Linked DNA regions of Macaca fascicularis. The protein of the gene in region 1 purifies or fractionates together with the protein of each later gene. This does not show direct contact. Links are inferred from orthologs where the notes say so. Each region holds a gene or a part of one and is shown in the gene's direction. Other genes may lie near its edges.

Evidence for each region. Proteins that work in one complex are often made in the same cells at the same time.
Region 2: the proteins of TMEM43 (region 1) and SAAL1 purify together in Homo sapiens (affinity purification with mass spectrometry; 3 studies listed by BioGRID and IntAct, with this or other methods). This does not show direct contact. The link is inferred for Macaca fascicularis from reciprocal best matches to the Homo sapiens genes TMEM43 and SAAL1.
Region 3: the proteins of TMEM43 (region 1) and ENDOD1 purify together in Homo sapiens (affinity purification with mass spectrometry; 3 studies listed by BioGRID and IntAct, with this or other methods). This does not show direct contact. The link is inferred for Macaca fascicularis from reciprocal best matches to the Homo sapiens genes TMEM43 and ENDOD1.
Region 4: the proteins of TMEM43 (region 1) and CUL4B purify together in Homo sapiens (affinity purification with mass spectrometry; 3 studies listed by BioGRID and IntAct, counting the BioPlex papers as one, with this or other methods). This does not show direct contact. The link is inferred for Macaca fascicularis from reciprocal best matches to the Homo sapiens genes TMEM43 and CUL4B.
Region 5: the proteins of TMEM43 (region 1) and BZW2 purify together in Homo sapiens (affinity purification with mass spectrometry; 3 studies listed by BioGRID and IntAct, counting the BioPlex papers as one, with this or other methods). This does not show direct contact. The link is inferred for Macaca fascicularis from reciprocal best matches to the Homo sapiens genes TMEM43 and BZW2.

The regions. Positions count from the first base shown.
Region 1 is NC_088376.1:152,388,629-152,392,900, forward strand, and holds the start of TMEM43 (transmembrane protein 43), read left to right. Parts: upstream 1-1,472; 5' UTR 1,473-1,583; coding exon 1,584-1,595; intron 1,596-4,272. UniProt on the Homo sapiens protein: May have an important role in maintaining nuclear envelope structure by organizing protein complexes at the inner nuclear membrane. Required for retaining emerin at the inner nuclear membrane.
Region 2 is NC_088388.1:47,667,642-47,671,766, forward strand, and holds the start of SAAL1 (protein SAAL1), read left to right. Parts: upstream 1-1,325; 5' UTR 1,326-1,366; coding exon 1,367-1,498; intron 1,499-4,125. UniProt on the Homo sapiens protein: Plays a role in promoting the proliferation of synovial fibroblasts in response to pro-inflammatory stimuli.
Region 3 is NC_088388.1:94,102,287-94,106,297, forward strand, and holds the start of ENDOD1 (endonuclease domain-containing 1 protein), read left to right. Parts: upstream 1-1,211; 5' UTR 1,212-1,308; coding exon 1,309-1,608; intron 1,609-4,011. UniProt on the Homo sapiens protein: May act as a DNase and a RNase. Plays a role in the modulation of innate immune signaling through the cGAS-STING pathway by interacting with RNF26.
Region 4 is NC_088395.1:126,835,759-126,840,032, reverse strand, and holds the start of CUL4B (cullin-4B), read left to right. Parts: upstream 1-1,474; 5' UTR 1,475-1,525; coding exon 1,526-1,553; intron 1,554-2,302; coding exon 2,303-2,845; intron 2,846-2,949; exon of another isoform or gene 2,950-3,128; coding exon of another isoform or gene 3,129-3,150; intron 3,151-4,274.
Region 5 is NC_088377.1:113,551,651-113,555,674, reverse strand, and holds the start of BZW2 (eIF5-mimic protein 1), read left to right. Parts: upstream 1-1,224; 5' UTR 1,225-1,342; intron 1,343-4,024. Other genes in the region: ANKMY2 (ankyrin repeat and MYND domain-containing protein 2), read right to left, coding at 551-617. UniProt on the Homo sapiens protein: Translation initiation regulator which represses non-AUG initiated translation and repeat-associated non-AUG (RAN) initiated translation by acting as a competitive inhibitor of eukaryotic translation initiation factor 5 (EIF5) function.

The DNA.
Region 1 (4,272 bases):
GTATTCACCAAAGAATTTCTGGGTGACTTCCAACTCTCTCTGTAGCTTTATAACCATCCATCCCCCTTCTCTGGAGCAGAGAAGATGCTTCATGAATATTTGCTGTATCAGTGAAGCCCAACATCTCATTTTACAACACTGGAAACCAGGGCCTGGAGGGGTTAGGTAGGAGCTTAGGGCCAAGGAGTCAGTTTGTGGCAGTGTGTGGGGAGGCCCTCCGACCTGTGGCTTGGGTACTTCTGAGCTCTTGGGTAGAGTAACATCAAGGAAGCATTAGGTGGTTGGAGCTCAACTTTGGGGTGGGAGGTAGGCAGGGTTCTCCCTGCAATCCACTGGGCACTAGATTGGAAAAGGCTGTTCTGGGGTCACAATGCCCAGGCTCAAACCCCGGTTCCACGATTTGCTGGCTGAGTGGCTTTAGCCAAGTCTCCTGTGTCAGACTTTACTCTTCAGTAAAATGTGACCAGTAACAGAGTCTGACTTACAAAGGGCGCAGCGAGATCAATGAGACAAGCCACGTAAGTTTCCTTGAACAGTGCCTGATAGGTAGCAGGGGGCTCAAAAACATTCCCGTTAGTAGAACTCCTAGCACAACTCCTAGCACCCCAGCACAGCACACGCTACCCCCAGTAGCAACTTTTCGGGACCCGCCTTTTAAAGGCGCGTGCAAAATGGCAACACGTGGGGTATGGCAGGAGCGGTAGTAATAATTAACATACATTCCCAGTTACGAGCCACACGCAACGTGCTCGGCATTTCCCGTGCCCCAACCCGGCCTAGTTTACGACTTCCCACGCACAGGCCCCTCTGAGGTCAGGGTTCGGGCTTCACTGTGACCTTGGACCAGTCCCGTTCCCCCGAGAGCTTCGGTTTTCTCATTCGCAAAACACGAGTGGCGACCCCCCAGCCTGCCCGCCTCCGAGTGTCCCAGGGTGGGCAACCGGGCCGCGCCTCGGGTGGCCCGCGCCTGCGGCGTGGTAGCGGGGCGCCGGGGCCCGCGTGTCTCCCGCAGGCCCTCGTAGGCCGGTCTCCATGGCAGCCCGCCCTCCCTACCTTCCTGCCGGCAATAGGACATGGCTGCAGCCCGTCCCTGAGACCTTGCAGAAGCGGCAGTGGCGGTAGCTGCAGCTTTACGCCGTGACCTCCTCTCCTCAGGCAGTGCGGGCGCCTCCGAAGCCCGCGCGGACCCGCCCCCTCCAGGCCTGCCCGCCGCGCGCCTGCCTCGGCGCCCTCTTAACCGCGGCCAGGCCCACCTCAGCCGGAAACTACATTTCCCAGCAGGTCGCGAGCCCCACAGCAGCTCGCCAGGCAGTAGAAACTACATTTCCCAGAAAGCTTTGCAGTGCGCAGGCGCATCAATGAGGTACTGTAATGTCCCTGACCCGTTTCCAGGTCTCGCCGCGCGCATGCGCAGAAACACTGGGCACACGGGGCGGTAACTGCAGTAAGTCCCGCCTGGTCTTGGAGTCCACGCGGATTTTCGAAGCTGGGGCTGGCAAGAGGCCGCTGGACTCCGCGCTCCAGTCGTCAGCCCACTTCCTAGCTGAACAGCGCGAGGCGGCGGCAGCGAGCCGGGTCCCACCATGGCCGCGAATGTGAGTGTCCCCTGGCCAGCCGGGCCACACCCAGGCTTCTCCGTCGCCCTGGGGCTCTTCCCCGGGGCCCTCTGGGTCCGTTTCGCCGTCTGGAGCTCCTCCCTGCGGCTGGGCCCGCATCTCCCTCTGCGCGCCGTGTCGGTGCCTTCGCCAGCTCATCCCTCTGTTAATCTCTCGACCCGTCCAGACTTCTTTTGTCCGTGTTCTTTGGTCCGCCTAGTCCTCGGCGTTCGTGCGGAGGCGGACTCGGAGGTGTTGCTCCCGCACTACGATCTGCTTGTACGCCTCTCCGCGGCTCCTCCTTGCATTCCTAGTTCCCTCCTGTATCTTGGGGCCCTGAAGCCGTCCCAAGGTTGCGCATTATGAGAGCTGGACGGGAGCTCAGAGAGGGGGCCATTCCCTTGGGAGGGAGGAAGGCGACCCAGCCCAAGTGGAGCTGTCCAGCAATGGACGGATAGGGCTGTCCAGGCGGGCAGAGAGCTCCCCGCTCTAGGGAGGCTGTGTAAACCGAGGCTGTGATGCTGCAAAAAGCTTAGGCTGGGCTGGGAGCGAAGGAGTTAGGGGGAGAGGGAGCATTTCTCTACTGTCGGGGCCCCTCCTCCTCCTAGCAAGGATTTGGTTGGAGAAGGCCTGGCTGAGGGCTGTTCCTTCAAGGCCTCTTCTCCCTGCAACTAGCCTTTCTCGGGAAACTATTTAAGCCCAACATTCATTCAGCACACCAAGCAGCGCCTCCTACCAGGGCGCTGGATGTGGGAGAAGCTGGTGACTCACTTCTCCCCTCCTCTGTGAAAGTGCTTCTAGGGCCTGCTTAGGAGCCCAGCCAGCCCCAGACACACCCTCCCTCCTGCTTTGGTAGAGTGTCCTAGCAGCTCTCCCCTTGCCTGTCACACCCTATTTCCAGACGCCGCCTCTGTCCCCAAGCGTCCTCTCTGCCTCCCACACCCCTTGAGAGGCCAGGGTGTGCATCACCCACAGTCCTAGTACACTCTGTCTCGGGTTAGTATCATCTACACTCCCAGGACACTTTGGGCCCACAGGAGGGTTAGAAGCCTTGAATGGTGTACCTAGAAAGGCCTCAGAGGTATTCCGAGAGACTCAGGCTCGGCCAGGAGAGAGGGCAGACAGGAGACCAGCCTGTTTGTAGTATGTGGACTCTGTCTGCTCCCATCACCACCACCACCATATTTTACAGATGGTGAACTTCCCCAGCAGGGGAAGGCACCTGCCCAAACTCTTGTGGCCAGCTTGGCATGCTGCAAAGGGCAGGCTTTGGAGTTAGGGAGACCTGGGGGCAATCCAGATTCTTCCACCCAGTAGATGTGTGGCTTTCATCTCTCCAGGTTTATGTAGCCTCATGGATCAGTTACTGTGACATTTAAGGGAGACTGCTTAGCACAGTGCCTGGTGTGTCGTAGGTACCTAATACTTGAAAACTAGCCTGTCATTGCAGAGGGGAGCACAGATGGTCCCAGTGAATAGAGATCGTCTTGGGTACATTGAGACCTGGCCCCTCACCAAGGAACATACATGCATTTGAGTATCCTCTGCTGCCAAGCATTTGTTGATTCATCCAGTAGCTGGGTATACATTTACAGCAGCCACTAGGCTGGGTGAGGAAGAAGATAGTGGGATGGAGTAGGGAGGCAACAGAATTCTCAATCAGTATAGCAGCAGCAGTACCGATGGTGAAGGTACTATTCCCCTCTCTACTTTATAAGTGAGTAAACAGAATCAGAGAGGTAGAGCAATTTACCCAGGCTTCACAGCAAGTGATTGGTGAACCTGGGCATCGAACCCAATTCTGTTCATTTCCAGGGCTTATGTGTCAGCCTCTGTTCCCACCACTCATTGCTCATTTCTTCTGAGTCCTGAGTGCTGGGACTGGGAGGGGATGTGTCACTGGGGATGTCTGTGTGTGTGTGTGTGTTTACATTTGTGTGTATACATGTAATATATATGTATATATAAATATGTGTGTATATATAGATCCTTTATGATCCTCCATGTTTACTGGGAATTTTGGTTCAGAATGTGGGCTGGGTATGTCATGTCACTGCCTACCTCATCCCTCCCCTAGCCTGAGGGGCACCCTCCTGTACCTCTCTTCCTTCCCTCCAAGGCTGTCTTTGAGCCCCTTATCTTGATGCTGGCTGAGGGGACGCCCAAGAGGAAGCCACACCTCCTTTTCCTGTTGCTGCCTACAGCCGGCACCCAACATTCAACTCACATTGTAGCCCAAGAGATGGGGAGCACAGACTGGAATGAGTAATAGGAGAGTAGTCTCCAGTCTGCCCAGATGTGAATCCTAACTCTTCCTCTTAGAAACTGTGTGATCTGGGAAGATGACTTAACCCCAAGCCCGATTTTCTTATCAGTGAAATGGGGTGGTTATGGCATCCAGCTCTTTGGGCTTGCGTGTGGGCTGGCCTGTGATAGACCGGCGTGTTTGCCATTGTCATCATTATGATGGTCACCTGCCTGCCTGTGGTGATTCCCTCCCCTAATGTTTCCAAATTGTATAGAAGGTCAAGATGACTTCTGGATTCATGGACATCTGGTCACTGGAGGCCTTGGCTGGTGATATTCAAAGACAATCAGAACGTGACATCAGCTTTGTCCAAGCAGAGACTCTGACTCAAATCACTCCTCTGGCCCCTAGTGCCAGGATGGGGCACTG
Region 2 (4,125 bases), on another chromosome or scaffold:
ATTTCTGTTTCAAGATGACACTGAAAAATTATTCTAATATAACAGCAGCAAAAATGTAATTCTGCAATTATAAAAGTGCAAAACTGAAATTCATAATGAAGGTTTTCTCATGTTTACAATTATGGTTATTTAATCAATACTAATACTATGCAGGTCTGTTGTAAGATTTCTAGATTTGGTTTAAACACATGCACACAATACTGCCAGTTGTGGGAGGCTTTACAAGTTATATTTCATGCAACTTTTTTGAAAGAGTTCTAAAAGAGTCAGCCAGTCCACAAGACAGACAGAAAAAAGTTAAATTAACTGGAGTAAATTGGACTCTTAACATTTAAAGCATGCAAGATTCAGGAGGAAACTGGGAGTACTTTGGGACTGGCCTGCTATCTTCTTTAGTATTAATTTCATCTTAACAGTTTAAGAATTTGAACATTTTAACACCATCAAGTTCATTTAGGTGACGTGTTTCTTGTGTGTTAACTTGACTCCCCTGAATGATCTAGTTAGTGAACTGGAGTCACTAATAATTTGGTCACAAGGCAAATCAAGCCTACACGAAAGGAAGTGAAAACTCAAAATATCATAGTATCATCTGAACCTACTCAAATAATTTATTTTCAATATAAACATGTAACTTCAATAATGAGATGACTCATTAATGAGCCAAGCTCCTCCAACAAGACAACGACAACATCTCTTCTTCTAAGGTTTAGGTTTTGCATAGAAATCCGGATACATGGAACAGCCCATACCAACAGTCATTGCTCCTACAACAAAGCTGGACTGCCACACGCATGTGGATCAGGTGATGCGATATTTTACTATTTCCCCTGCTCTTCAATTTGTATAATCCATATGCAGCAACTACTGCAAAACCTGCCATTCCAATGAGGACAAATGGTGCCTCTTTAGCTTTACAAATCAGTTTGGATCCCTGGAATCCCTTACAAGTCATCCAGCTTCGCCCACGGATATTTTTAGGAATGGCAACGGTGACCAGAGATCAGAGGATTGTAGGAAGAGAGGGCGAATAGAGTAAGTTCGCTAGCTTTCAGATTCACATCTGTTCCTGAGGCTTCCTCCCTGCCCCCACCCTTCCTTCTTCAATCAGGCTAAGAGCTCCTGGAGAAATGGAACACCTGATTCAGTGAGGGTGACAAATAATTATGAGTATATTCGTGCCTGGGTCCTGGGTAGAATGGGGTGGGTGAGGTCAAGCCATCTTGGCTGGCTGGCCAAGCTCCGAACAGCAGGGGGCGCTGTAGGGGAAGTCCCGCCGGGTGCGCCGGGCGCTCTGGCACTAGGGTGCCGGTCGTCTCCTCCGCAGCTTCCGGCACGGCCTTCGAGCGCGGGACGCGGCAAAGTCATGGATCGCAACCCCTCGCCGCCGCCTCCGGGTCGCGACCAGGAGGAGGAGGAGGTGGCCGGTGGAGACTGCATAGGGAGCACGGTTTACAGCAAACACTGGCTCTTCGGCGTCCTCAGCGGACTCATCCAGGTGTGGAAACTCGCGCCACGCGTGGGCTCTTCCCACATCCCCCAGGCACCCGGGCTCCGCCTCTGGCGGCTCCTCCTGCTCCGGGAGCCGCCATCCCCACAAAGACCCCTCCCCAGGCGTGCGCTGCGGGACCTCGCTTGTTGCGTTTCGCCGGCCGCTGCGGACCCCAGAACTATCTGGGGCCCCTCGGGGTCTCTCGACACAAAGGGAAGTATAATGTTAGGGATGCTGGAATACTTGGGGTTCTATTGTAGTTTCGCAAGTTCTCCAAAAATACACGATCGTGTAACTGCATTGCTCGGGTTTTGCTCCCCATCCCCACTGTCATTTCTGAAGCCCAGGTCCTTAGTTTATATATTTCATGGACTATAGTTGTAATATAATAAATGGTGATTTTAGGGTTATACAACTTTTATATAAAAAACGTGGCTTCTGACTAGGCGCGATGGGTCACGTCTGTAATCCCAACACTTTGGGAGGCCGAGGCGGAAAGATCGCTTGAGCCAGGAGTTCGAGACCAGCCTGGGCAACATAGAACTGGTTTCTACAAACTTAAAAAAAGCCGGTCGTGATGGTGCACACCTGTAGTCCCAGCTACTCAGGAGGCTGAGGCTGGAGGATCGTTTGAGCCTGGAGTTGGAGGCTGCAGTGAGCTGTGATCCGGCTACTGCACTCCAGGCTGGGGGACAGAGGGAGACCCTGTCTCAAAAAAACAAAAAACACAGCTTCATTACCCACTAGCTGCAGGTCACCTAACGGCTCAGAACCTCTATTTCTCTCTTAATTTCTATAAAATGGGATTATAATATTTATATTATTATATATAGGGTCATTGTGTAGGTTAAGTGAGATTATAATGGCCATAGAGTGCTTAGCATGGTGTTTGACTTATAGGAGGCTGTCAGTAAATGTGGGTTTTCTTCTCCCCATGTTTCCCTCATTGGTTCCTCTGCTTCTCTTCTCTATCCTCTCCAGTTAATTTTCTACACAGCTGCCAGAATAATCTTTAAAGACATCGCTATTCATGACACTGCTTAGTTCCCTTTGCATAGGAGAAAAATGCATATTTCTTGAAGCTTGGGATCCAGGGCTGTGTATACGTTTTCCAGCCTCATCTTCTCGTGATACACTATGTTCCATCAACAGCGAACTGTTCACCATCCCCAAACATGCTAGGCCCTCTCTCAACTCTGAACTCTTGTACTTTCCTCTGAATACTCACTTCTCTCCTTCTTCACATGACAAACTACTATTCTTCCTTTAAAATTTAGCTTAAATATCAACACCTAAGAGAAAGTTCCCCATCTTCTCCCAGGAATAGGTCATTGGTCCATCATTTTTGCTACCACAATTTTTTGTCCACAATTCATTTGAATCACTTTGCCTTTTTTTTTTCTTTTTTTTTTTTTGAGACGGAGTCTCGCTCTGTCGCCCAGGCTGGAGTGCAGTGGCCGGATATCAGCTCACTGCAAGCTCCGCCTCCCGGGTTCACGCCATTCTCCTGCCTCAGCCTCCCCAGTAGCTGGGACTACAGGCGCCCGCCACCTCGCCTGGCTAGTTTTTTGTATTTTTTTTTAGTAGAGACGGGGTTTCACCGTGTTAGCCAGGATGGTCTCGATTTCCTGACCTCGTGATCTGCCCGTCTCGGCCTCCCAAAGTGCTGGGATTACAGGCTTGAGCCACCACGCCCTGCCCACTTTGCCTTTTCTAATATGACTATCCCTTTACATGTCTTTCCCCACTAGATCCTAAAAGTTAAAAAAAAAAAAAATCTTAAAAGTAAGGGATTATATCTAACTCGTCTTTGTATATCTACCCCAGTGCCTAGCAACAGTATTTACTTTGTGAATGTTGAAAGAATAGATCTACCCAAGGCACTAAGTTTTTAAAAGAAGATTTTTGCAAGAGAAGATACTTTGCTGGTAGCTTCTTTGTGTCTTCTAAACAATTATGGGTTATTATTAAAGTAAGTCCTCACTTAACATCAGTAGGTTCTTGGAAATTGTGACTTGAAGCAAAATTACTGATAATGAAACCAATTTTACATAGCTAATTGATATAAACAAGAGTTAAGTTCCTGTGGCATATTTCTGGACAGAAGAACATCACCAAACTTCTAAATGAGGACCCAAAACATGTCTAGTATTAAATATTGAAATAAATGTGAGCTATAAATACATTTAAGAAAGGTTAATAAAAACAAGAACTATTTACCTAATTTTGGTGAGTTAGTGAGTGATGGTGGTTGTAGTGATTATCACTACAACTTTTATTCTTTGATTATGTTAAATCAAGGAATAAATGTTTACAAAGCAAAAATGACCACCTCTTACTACCGTACAGTCCAAAAACAAAAAAATAAGGCAGGCTTACTGAGCACATTCCTACCACATAATTATTGTCGTACATCTCCATGATTATTGTCTTCTTTACAGATTTTTGTTTTATAATAATTTGTATTCATCCATTTCCCAACCCAATTGCTCTGGTTCAGAGTTGAGGGTGGCTGGAGCCTAAACCAGCAGCTCAAGGTGCAAGGCAGAAACCAGCCCTGGACAGGATGCCATCCCATCACAGGTACACACACACCCACACTCACTCAGATCGGGACCATTTAGACACACCAG
Region 3 (4,011 bases), on another chromosome or scaffold:
ATTGTAATGCCAATCATAAGCATAAGAATTATTTCATGAAACTTTTCTCATTATGGGCCTTCTCAAAAAGTGTTTGAAGGCCTCTGGCCTGTAATACCCTGAGTAATACGACCCTTGCCTCCTCCTTTAGCTCCACTTCCCATCATCCCCACGCAGTTCTCTGCTCTTTACCCACACTAGCTTTCCTTAAATTCCTCCAACACATCATGTTTCTTTCTGTGGGAGACCACTTAGCACATGGTTTTCCTCCTTGCCTAATGTCATCCTTCAGGTCTCAGCTCGGATGCCATTTCTTCAGGCAAACCTTCCCGGATTACATCCTGAACCCCTGCAGCTGTCAGGGTCTCACAGATCTGCGTTCAGTTTTTAGTTATCCCTTTAATAGCATGTTTCCTCGGTGAGTGACAAGCTTTCCCACTAGGCTGTCTTTGTGACCGCAGGGGCCCTGTTCTTGTTTACCCCTGTGGTAATCCAGTGCCTATCTCAGGCTGGCACCTAGGCATTCAGAGGGATAAATGAAGGAAAGAATTGGCCAACCTGTTGACCAGTGACGTTGGCTGGCCTCCTTCCTTGCTTGGTATCGGTTTTGTTTCTAACCCTTGCACCGAGAAAACCACACAGGGTTGTACTGTCTGCCCAGTTCAGGAACTTCCTTTAACAGTATTTCTTTACTCTCTGAGTTTCTGGTGAGCTCAAAAACAAAACAAAATACTGCAAGAAAATTGTATGCGTGTGCTGGCCGTTGAGCACTTCGGTGGAGAGTGGGAGAAGGATCTTCATAAGATTTCAGAGGGGAACTCTGCCCATCCACTCCGAACCAGCTGCAGCTCCGTGAGCATCTCACGCCACCCCTCTGCATCCCCAGGGCTGCCGTGGGGCGCGCGCGATCAGCAAGCTTCTTGGCGCCCAGTCCATGCGACTATCTCTTCCCAGTCCCTGGACTAGGCCTGCCCCACTCGGATTCTCCACTCTTGGTAGCGCGCGTCCCCGCGGACTGCTGAGACCAGGCGGCGCGGCGGCAGGTGACCCGCTTCTCCAGTCCCGGGCGCAGCCCAGGGGACATTGTCAGCAACGCGGTGCCCGGCCCTGGGCCTCTGCAGCCATCTTCAGGGAGAGGGGCGCGGCCTCCGGACGCGGATCCGCCCCCGCCGCCCGGGTTGCCCCGCCCGGCTCCGCAGAGCGCGGCGCCTGGGTTCCGACTTCCCTTCCCTACCCTGCTAGGCTGCGTCGCGCGCTCACCGCCCAGCCCGCAGAGCTCGCGCCGCGGCAGCCTAGCCGCTCGGCCCCGCCGCGCTCGCAGAGGCCGCCATGGGCACTGCGCGCTGGTTCGCGCTGGGCAGCCTCCTCGCCCTGGCTAGGCTGCTGGAAGGCCGGCTCGTGGGCGAGGAGGAAGCCGGCTTTGGCGAATGTGACAAGTTCTTCTACGCCGGGACCCCGCCTGCGGGGCTGGCGACCGATTCCCACGTGAAGATCTGTCAGCGCGCGGAGGGCGCTGAGCGCTTCGCCACCCTCTACAGCACTCGGGACCGCATCCCCGTGTACTCCGCGTTCCGCGCCCCGCGCCCTGCGCCCGGCGGCGCCGAGCAGCGATGGTTGGTGGAGCCGCAGGTAAGCGAGGTGGTTCCCGAGCCGGGGACCGTGCCGCTGGACTTGCCCCCAGTGGCGCTTTGCGGCTACCGCGAGGGGCCGGGCCGGGAACAGCAATCCCTACGCCTTCGATGCCTTGGGCTAAGAAACTCGGGTTCCAGATCCACCCCGTTGCGTCCCCGGAGTTTAGCCTGCCTCGCCCTCTGTCGAGGCTACAATAAGAGCCTGGCGATCTGCGAGCCTTCACTTCACTTCATGAGTTGCAGGGGCGGGAGGTCCCCTGTGGGAGGAGGTTCTCCCTACATTTCTGAGCAGACATCCGCAGTGTTTCATTCCTGAATAGTGAAGAGCGTGAGACAGAGACCCTGGAGACCGTTCAGATTCGCAGAAAGCCTACGCTGGGCGCTCACAGGCCTTCGTGCAAGTTACTGTCATAGCACTCATTTGGAGGTGGGTAGGTGGGCATTTTCATCCCCATTTTACAGAAGAGGAGATTAACCCAGGGCGTCGAAGAGACTTGCGGAAGACCACCCAGTTAATAAGATGGGGCAGGTCTTTTGTCTAGAAATTCACTGTCTTTTCTACTAAGTAAAGCTTCTCTACTGCAGAGCTTATCCTAGCCTGAAAATCCTTCCTCTACACACGGCATTGAGTAAATTCGATCTGCGGTTGTGTTGAATTAGAATAAAATAAAGATACAGATTTTTAGAAACGCAATGGGATAGTTACAAATGATAGGGAAACAATGACTACCTCCAACTGATGGAAAGATAAGCCAGTTTTTCCTGACTCTTCATATCTATATTATCATACCACTAGGAAATCATGTCACCTCTCATGGTGTTCTGTCCCATCTGGTAAAGGTGAACAAACACTTGAGAAGCCCTCAGAGTCTTCCGAACCTGCTTTCTTGCTCTTAACACATCCTGACTTACCTCTGCTCAGTTGATCTCCTCTCTAGAATACCCTGCCAGGCTCCCCTTTCCCTCTCACCAGCCTCCCACCCCTGTCCAGGCTGCTGGGGGAGGAGCTGACCCAACGGCTCTCCCTTTCCTGAGGACCACAGCTGCCCAGGACCACACCAGTGGACAGGAGGCTGGCTTTCAGGTGCTTTTTTCAGAGCCTGTGGATTGTAATCTCATTGAGATATTTCTAGCTCTGAGGTCTTGGCCAGGTCTCAAACAATCTGCACCTAGTTTTCTTATCTTCCTCACATCCTTCCACTTACCTCAATTGTTGATAACACCTGTTGAGATCAGGTATGTGAAAAAGACGTTGTCAGTTGCACACACAAGATCCATTTAAATCCAAAATTAGTTTTCCTCCAGCTGTACCCCTAGAGCTCACAGGGTGTTGCCCACCTCTTGTCTTGCACTGTGATTGTGTGCCTGTGAAGAGAACAAATGACCTGGTCCTTTCCCTTGATCTCATGGATAGCTTGGGGAGACAGAACATACGTTTGAGGAAATCATGGGAATGCATGCTAAACGAATTTCAGTTAAATTCAGAACACATTTAGTGATCTCCTGCTGTGTGCCAGACATTTGGGATGCCAAGAGATCTGAGTGCCGTTCTAGAACAAAGGTTACCTGATCTGCAGGTGGAGTTTTCTGGGTGGAGAGGTGGTGTAGCATTTGATTAGAGCCATGCTATGTGGGTTCAAATCCTAGTTGCTCCGCTGACTAGCTATGAACTTGGGCAGGTTAAATTGGAGATAATAGCATAGGGTGTTGTGAGATTTAATGAGTTACTATATACAAAGTTCTCAGGTGTGTGACACATGAGTACTAGCTGTTGCTATGACACGGGCAAAAAACCCATAATTTAATAAAGGTGAACAAAGTTCTATTAGATTTAATCTGTCTTTGAGGTGATGGAAGCAAGCCTTAGGGTCAGGATGACATTTGTGCTTTGTGTGGAAAGATAAGGCAGAGTTTAGAAGGGAGGCAAAGAAGAGGACATTTCAAGCAGAGGGGACAGACTTCAGGAGTGAGAAAGGCATGGCAGATTCAGGGATTTGTGCATGGAGAAGTTGGAACAGGTAAACTAATACAAATAGATTAATGTACTCGGTTGCTCAGAATAAAAGGGAATCACGGAAGGGAGGGATCAGGTGGGGAGGAGCCGTCAAGGAAGGCTTAGGGAGGCAGAGCCATTTATGCAACTAGGGAAGGAGTGAGTCATAAAGGAGCATAGTTTGCCAGAAAGAAGTAAAGGGAACCAGGTAACATGGATTCCGTGGGTGGGATAATGAGGAAGGGGACTGTGGAGATTAAAGAAGATGGGAAGGGAGGGCGGAAATAGTTACAAATGGCAGCTTGAGAGGTAAGATGTACTGTAGTTCTGAAAAGTACAAGGGGCCTGAGCTCTTACTGTGCTGAGAGGTCAGAATGGTCACTGTGGCTGAGCACTGCAGGATGCTTT
Region 4 (4,274 bases), on another chromosome or scaffold:
TGTAAAAGCTCTGCTTGCTGGATTGTCTCCCTGCTATCTATGATTGCCTACAGAGTAGACTCCAAATTCTTGGCTTGGTGTGCCAGGCCCTTTTGAGCCTCATCTTCCTTACTCCCAGCTAGACATCCTACTTCCCAGCCTCACTGCACTTTCCATGTTTCCATAAACAGGCCAGGCCCTTTCACTCCTTGCTTTGCCCTTGTTTCCATTCCCCAAAATGCCTTTCATCCTGTTCCCTCTTGTCTTTTTGGCAACTCCCACTTTGAGGCACAGCATAAACACAATCTCTGTAAAACTATTCCTATTCCAGATTTCCCCCAAATTTCTTGTTTTGCCTCTTCTGACAGCACTTTGTATATCTGTCATAGTATTGTTATGGAAATTAGTTTTGAAACTATCTTCCCTTACTGGCTTCTCAAGGGCAGAGACCTTGCATAGTGTCTTACCATACATGCTCACTGAATGCTTTTGCAGTTAGAATGATCAACAGGTTGGCAAATTTAGTTCTATTTGACATTGTGTTACCTCCCTCTGAGAATGCCCCAAGGTTAAGTAAAAACTCCCAACAGGGAATTTACAAGGTTGATTGTTGCTAATTTAACTAAATTTAAAGATTTTTAAAATCAGTCATCAAATGTAAAGCGGGGGCTCATGAAACACATTGGTAGAAAACATTAACTTTTGCCAATATTGTTCTAAAATGTCTCCTTTGGGACAGCGTGTAAGCTGAGATTTGGCAAAAGAAGGAAGTGGGTCTTAGCTTTGGTCTATAAATTAGAGTTAAGGACTGATAGAGTGGGGGTTAGGACGGTCCTGGGCACAGTGCTCAGTGGGTGAGTGGTTAGTTACCTTTCTATTTCTTCGCCTTAGAATACACCCTTAATTTGGCCAGCCAGCTTAGAAAATGCTCCTGGTAGGAAGATAAAAGGATTTACAGCTACATGAAAGAGAAAGGCATCAAAACTCAGGCCTTATTCAGCCTTGGGTCTGTGGTGCCTTGAGATAAAAGAGAAACAATTTATAGCGGCACCGAATCAAAAAGTCCTTTTCTTCCTATCTTAGCTCGTTTTCTTCTCCTTTCCTATCTTAACATCGGGACATTCCTCTCCAGTAACGGGCATAATAGCATGATTATGTTTTCCTCTATTTAGGGTTACTCCCCTAGCCTTGCAACCACTCCTTATTCCTTTATCTCTTTCAAAGTTTCCATTCTCCCGGACCTTTACATTTTATTTCGTCCCTCCCTCTCTCCTCCTCTTCCTCCTCCTCCGTTTTCCCAGCTAGCTCACTCCGCCCCTCGCCGTCACTACCTTCCCTCCCCGAGGCTCCTTCCCGCTCCTCCCCGTTCCTCCCGCCACCCCCCCCCCACCCCCTCGCCTTCAGAAAGCTCCAATCAGGAGCTCCGAAGGTGTCTCGAAGGCCCGCCCCCTCCTCCCATCCACTTTTCTTCCCCCCAATTTCTCCCTCCCCCCTTCCCCCCCCAACTCAAGTCCTGCGGGCCTGGGGGCTTCGGGATCTGGGCGCTATGAAAAGTGTCTGCCCAGTCACTTCCGGTAAGGGCGCTGCGGCGCGGAGCTTCCCGCGGGACCGTTAAGGAGCGAGTGGGAGTCCCCGGTGGGCCAGGGAAGGAAGGCGCTGCCAGGAAGGGGGAGCGCGAAGGAGAGCGGGAGCCGGAGCGAACTAACGCGAGCGTCTGGGGCACTTTAGCCGCCCCTTCCCAGCCGCCCCCTCACGCGCGAGCTCACCCGCCCCCCGGGCGGCTGCAGCGCTTCCCTCACCCCCAATCCCTGAGGTTGGCACCGCCCCTCCCTCGGTGCCGCGTGACCGGAAATGGCGCCATCTTTAGCCTCTTGTGCTATTGACAATAACAAGCCCTGGTTCTTTCCCCCTCCCCCTTTCCCCCAACCACAGCCTCTCCCCTCCCAGGGAGAGGGAGAAAAGGAGGAGGAGCTGCAGCCTCACAGACTCGCTGAGTCGCTCCTGCAGAAAGGGGGGGAGAGAGATCGAAAAGCAGGGGAGGGGGACGGCACGGCCGTTTACCTGTCTGCCTCCTCATTCGCTCTCCCCCCTCGTTCTGCTCACTCCTGGTGTCAGCCTATCCGCCTTCCCAAACCCTCCCATTCCCCCGGTGTAGCCCCCCCCGCCTTCACTTTCCTTCTCGTCCTCTGTGTTTCTCCTCTCTTCTTTCTTCCCTTCCCCCTCTAGCATTGCCACCTTCTCTCCTACACGCACGCAGGCATATAAACGTAGGTTTTTGATGCTCCTCTGCCTGTTGACCCCGCTATTTTCATGTTTCCAACAGGTTTTTCTTCCCCCAGTCCCTCAGCTGCTGCTGCTGCTCAGGAGGTCAGATCTGCCACTGATGGTAATACCAGCACCACTCCGCCCACCTCTGCCAAGAAGAGAAAGTTAAACAGCAGCAGCAGTAGCAGCAGTAACAGTAGTAACGAGAGAGAAGACTTTGATTCCACCTCTTCCTCCTCTTCCACTCCTCCTTTACAACCCAGGGATTCGGCATCCCCTTCAACCTCGTCCTTCTGCCTGGGGGTTTCAGTGGCTGCTTCCAGCCACGTACCGATACAGAAGAAGCTGCGTTTTGAAGACACCCTGGAGTTTGTAGGGTTTGATGCGAAGATGGCTGAGGAATCCTCCTCCTCCTCCTCCTCATCTTCACCAACTGCTGCAACATCTCAGCAGCAGCAACTTAAAAATAAGAGTATATTAATCTCTTCTGTGGCTTCGGTGCATCATGCAAACGGCCTAGCCAAATCTTCTACCACCGTCTCTAGCTTTGCTAACAGCAAGCCTGGCTCTGCTAAGAAGTTAGTGATCAAGAACTTTAAAGGTAACCAAGGCCAAAATCCATAATCACCTAATAAGGATTTGACACTCGAGGGGTCACGTGCTCTATTTATGTTAATATATTAAACAGTTTGGAGGTGGCCTAATGTTTTATGCATAATCAATGAGGTGGAGGGGAGGTCCTTTTTTGGTGGAGGGTTCATTTTCCGGGGGTGGTTAGGATCCTTGTGCTGAAGCATACACCGGGTGTTTCTGTGCAGTATTTTGAGGTTTTTTTTCAGCCTATTGTATTTAATCTGTTATTCCTTATAACACTGACAATCGGTATGATTGATCCGGATTTTACAGGTGAGAAATTTGTATTCTAAAGAGGTTTATTTATTTCAGGTGCATAGCGAGCCTTGGCACTGCTGGGATTTTTATTTTTATGCTTCAGTAGGCCACATTATCCAATGCCTAGAAATGCAGGTAGCAATAGTGATCTTTTTGTGCTCAAATAATATTTATAATTAGATTTACACTGTATTCATGAAACTCATTTGGAAGCAATATTAGAAGAAAAATTTATGTTCTCTGTATTTCTTTCCAAAGGTAGGGTTTGAAAGTGAAAAACATTGTGTATACACAGAAGTAGTAAGTCTGTGTACCACTAGTCTAAAGATAGGAACAATTACTACATCTATTTTTTCCATCACTAAAATGGATTTTAAAGTATCGACTTGCAGCTTTTAGGAAAATTTGTTCAGACCGTGTTTGAGATATGTGAGGAGAGTATTATGAATGCATTGATGCAAATATAAAATAAGCAATTTTTAAAACTGTATTTGAGCTGAATTTTTATCTGTTGAATGTGTTTCTGTTTTTCTGACTGACTTTTCAACACCCTTAACTGCCAGGTAATCAGTGCTACAGTGTTTATTAAATAGGGAAGTAAATGAATGAACTTAAGTAATATTTATGAGATAAGTGCTTTGTGGCTGAATATTAGTATTGAGAAGATCAGGTTCTCTATGCTTGTGTTTTTAACATTGAGTGGAAATCAGGAATGTGCTCTATTTTGTCTCAAGCAGAGGGCTATGGTGTTGTCTATTTTTAACTCTTTCTTTTTTATATCACTACCTTCCCATACCCAGGTTCTCAGTTTATGATTTAATAGTAGAGCTTTCTGAAGTCAATATGAATTGTAATTGACTAACGTGTTCATTATTTCACTTAAAAATATATGTATTTTTATAGCCAAATATTTTTAAATGAGTTATGATCCTGGTTGCATTTTCAAATTGGTTTCAGAGATTTTTTTCTCTCCCTCCTAAGATAAAAGCATATTAAGGCATTTGGATGTTCTAATTAAAACTTTTTTCCCCACACTCATTGCTAGTCAGTGAAGTTTAAAGCCTAGAGTAAGGTGTTTCTTTCTATTCTGAAAATGCAACATGATTTCTGGAGTCATTTGGATGTTTCAATCTTTAAAA
Region 5 (4,024 bases), on another chromosome or scaffold:
GGGAGGCCCTGGATGCGGAAGTCTCAATGCAGCAAATTACAGACCTAGTTCTGTGCCCTTATGAAGCACCCCTCTCCCTAAGGGCGCCCTCCACTCCCAAGCGGGGGCGGGGATCGGCAAAGGATCCAGATCATTCGGCCTGCGGAAGTCTAAAGAGCCATTTAGACACCCGCCTAAGAACCTGAAACTACCAGGACCGAACGCAGTCAAAATCCCTGGGGAGCAGTGAAGAATTCACACGCTGGGGCCCACACCTCGGGACGCTCGCATTAATCTAAGGCGGGGCGTGGAAATCCTTACGTTACCAAAAGCAGATTTAGAGGCCGAGCCTCTGTAACTACCTCTCCTGTCCCAGCACTGCTTCTACCTCCCCATCTCTCCGCCCCTGCAACCCTTCCCAGACCAAAGGGAGAAACGCTCTTTCCCGGTTCCAGGCTGCCAACCTTGCAGAACCGCAGCCAAAGGTCACGCAGGCCAGGGGCGCCCCCCCGGATCTGCCACGCCCCCCGGCCAGGCTGGCCGCGTCGGCGTCGCAGCCCAGCACCCGTACCTTTCCCGATGACTTCCAGCAGCTCCTTCTCCTCCTGGGTCAGCTCGCCTTTCTTTATGTGAACCATTGCTCCCGCCAGCTTGAAGGTTATTCTGTTTCTTAGGAAGTATTAAAAAAGAAAAGATGCGTCTGTATTGGGAACGCCAGCCGCAATGAGGCAACTTGAGACCAAGACACTGAGTAGCCAACCGCGGAAACGCTGCGCTTCTCTCCTCCCTCCCGCGGGCGGGCGGACAGCGGGCGAGCTCGGGCGAGCCAGGCTGGAGGTCTCTGCAGGCCCAGCGGCAGTCACCGCCCGCCGCCTGTCATTGGCCCGGCCGAGGAGGAGGAGCCGCAGGAGGTGGCAGCAAGAGATCACCATTGGAGAAACCGGGGAGGGAAAAACCAAATGCAGAAAGCTGGAGGGGGGAATTAAATTGCTCTTATACGTTCCGCACCCCTATCCTGTCCGGTTCAAATATTTCGCCACACGCAATATTGAAAATGCTACATCTGGCAGTTCTGTGCTCAGCGACGGCTTTTTGGGGCGTGCAGAGGTTCCCGGTTGTCGCCGTACCCCCACTATACCCCCAGGAGTGGCGTGGTCTGGGCAGGGGCGGTCTGGGAGGCGGGGGCGGTACGGGAGGCGGGGCTGCGCCGGGTTCCGTGTGTCTATGTCAATGTGTCTGTCCTTCACTCCTCCATTGTCTGCTGCCGCTGCTGCCGCTGCCGCCGCTGCCGCTGCACGAATCGCCGCAGTCCCCAGCCTTGCGCGTCGTCGCTACCTCCTCGGACAGGTGAGAAGCAGCCCAGGTGAGACAAGGGGTGCCGGGAGGGTTGCGAGAGCAGCGACTGCCGCCCCGCCGGGGCTTCCATCGGGCCGGAGCTGGCGGGGAGGAAGCATGTGCCTCCTGGGGCGGCTTCCTGCCTCGCGGTGGAGAAGCCCCCGCTCCACCTCATCATCACCGCGCTTACGGGGTGTCAGTGACCTGGGATGAAGACCTCCGACTCGCAACGTTTGGCCGCCCCGGGAGACCCTGGGACCGCAGGCGGGCGGGTGGGGGCCAGCCACGCGGTGAGAAGTGGCGGGTGCACATGGTCTCGTGCGTGGCACCGCCAGACGCGGCTCCCGGGGAGGCTGGGGCCAGGGCTCTGGGCTAGGGGTCGGGAGGAGAGCGCCCCATTACTAGCGAGTCAGTGAGGACAGACTCGGGAGAAGGTAGTTTTTACGTTGGTAATCCTCGCCCTCCCCACTACTTGTCATCTCTTTGGCCTCTGTGGAAGCTGTAGAAGAAAACCGGAGCTGATCGCCTAATGTTGCTTGTTAACGATGTTTGGAAACAATTTACACTTGCACTAATACTTCGTTTATGAGAGACAGCCTGGGGGAGGAAAGGGCTTCTTTGCTCTGCTAGAGTTCTTGGTTCTCTTTGTAACTCAGATCTTGAGATTTATGGAAATACGGAGTGGAGGGTGGGGAGGTTGGAGAGGGCGGAGATTAAATTGGTGTTGCTGCCTATATATAGCCTTAGATTAGCCTCTTAATCCAACCTTCATTCAACTGTAATATGTAGCCTGGAGCTTCAACCATAGGTAGATGGGGATAAATACAAGTGTGTACTCAGAAATAACATTTGCTTGCTAAAATGTGGGAATCAGTGATTTCTCCAGGGTACGCATTTATATTTACATCATCAATGAAAGTTTCTTTGAAAATTCGTGTTTATGTTTTACTGTTGTTTCCCTACAGAGTAGTATTGATGTTTCTCTCAATATGTGTGTCAAAGAGACATGTATGTGTCAAAGAGAAATATTTGAATAATTATGTAGGTGGTTTTTGTTAAGCATCCCCAGGACCACTGTTTCTTCTCATAGTGCCATACAAAAAGCGAAATCCATTTTCCTCTGGCCTTAGGCGTTTATTTTGTGTGAAGCTTTCACTAACACATCTGAAATCTCCTGGAGTATGTTTATCATTATTTCCTGCCTTTAGCAAAAATCTTTCCTAAACTCCAGCTGTTTTTGCCCCCTAAAGCTTCAGCTTCAAAGGCTGGGACAGATCTGAGCCAGAACATCTTACATGAAAATGGTTTGAAATTATTCATCTCAGTGTATAACAAAGATACTTTTGTTGGATGATGCTTTAATAATGATGTGGCTGTTCAGGCAAGTAGTAAGGCTTCTGAGAGTGACCGATCTTTTGTAATGCTGTTAGTTCCAGAGTTACAATTGATTTATAATACAGTATCATGCGGAAGAAACCCACAAACCTAAAAAAACGCGTGAGTAGTAACCTCCTGGAACATGTGATTTAGCATCTTACCAGCAGATGCATACACAGAATTGGGTACTTCATTGCTAGTATTTCCATCTCTTGTGCCAAATCTGGGCCATGGTTACTTGAAGGTCACACCTGTTTGTCTCACTGGGGTTGTCAGTTCCTCGAGGATAGCAACTAACTATTTTCTTGATGCCTTATGACACTTGTTTGGTATTTAGTGCTCTCTGAATACATGACCAGTGAATTTAGAGACAATAACATTGAAAGAGAATCTAACATCTACCTAGAAATGCAGATAAATCATGTTCAGTTTACATTTCTAGAAACAGATTCATAATGGGTACTTTTCATTAGATGGATTGATCACATTAGTAGTTGTATGGTGTAAATATTTAATGTAGGAATAAGATTAGATAATGAGCATATTAAAATAGATTCACATCAAAGAAGTTTTATTGATAATAAGATGGCTACTTCATATTGAGTATTTAGTCTGTGCTAGATATTCTACCAGATGCTTTGCATATAATTATTCTATTGTTATGACAACTCAGGAATTAGCCAATTTTATCCCCACTTCTGCAAATAAGAGGACAGAAACTAAGGGAAATAGTTTGTCCACAACCCCATATTAGGAAGTGTCAGAGTCAGAATTGGAATAATGATTTCTGAAATGTGTGAAATGTATGTGTCCTCTCGTATCTTTTTCTACTACTACCACTCTAGACCTATTGCAATGCATCTTAAGTAGCCTGCTTCTCTCTCACCTGTCTCTGTCTAGCTAATTCAGGGAACTACCAGTTCAATAAACATTGAGCACCCATCATTCTGTGAATGGCTCTCCTCTGGCCACAGAATAGAGGGCTGGGTCTGGCCTGGAAGGTTCCCAACCATCCATGGTCTCAGCAGGCATTTCCAGTCATCTGGGCCCTCCCACACACTGAGCTCTAAGGTCACCACTCTGCTGGTTCCCCAACCTGCCGGTAATTTCCACCCCTTTGTTCCTGCTTTTCTCCTTCTCCGAATGACTTCCCTTCCCTTTTCACTGAATCTCCTCTCCAGATCTGATGAACTATTCAACTTTTCAGACATAATTTAAACAAAAACTCTTTTCTTCAGCTTTTGTGTTCATCTCTCTCTCTCTCTGTCCAGTAAGGGAAATATACGTGCTAGTAAATACATTTATTCATGTCTCTTGGCAAGGGTTATAAGTA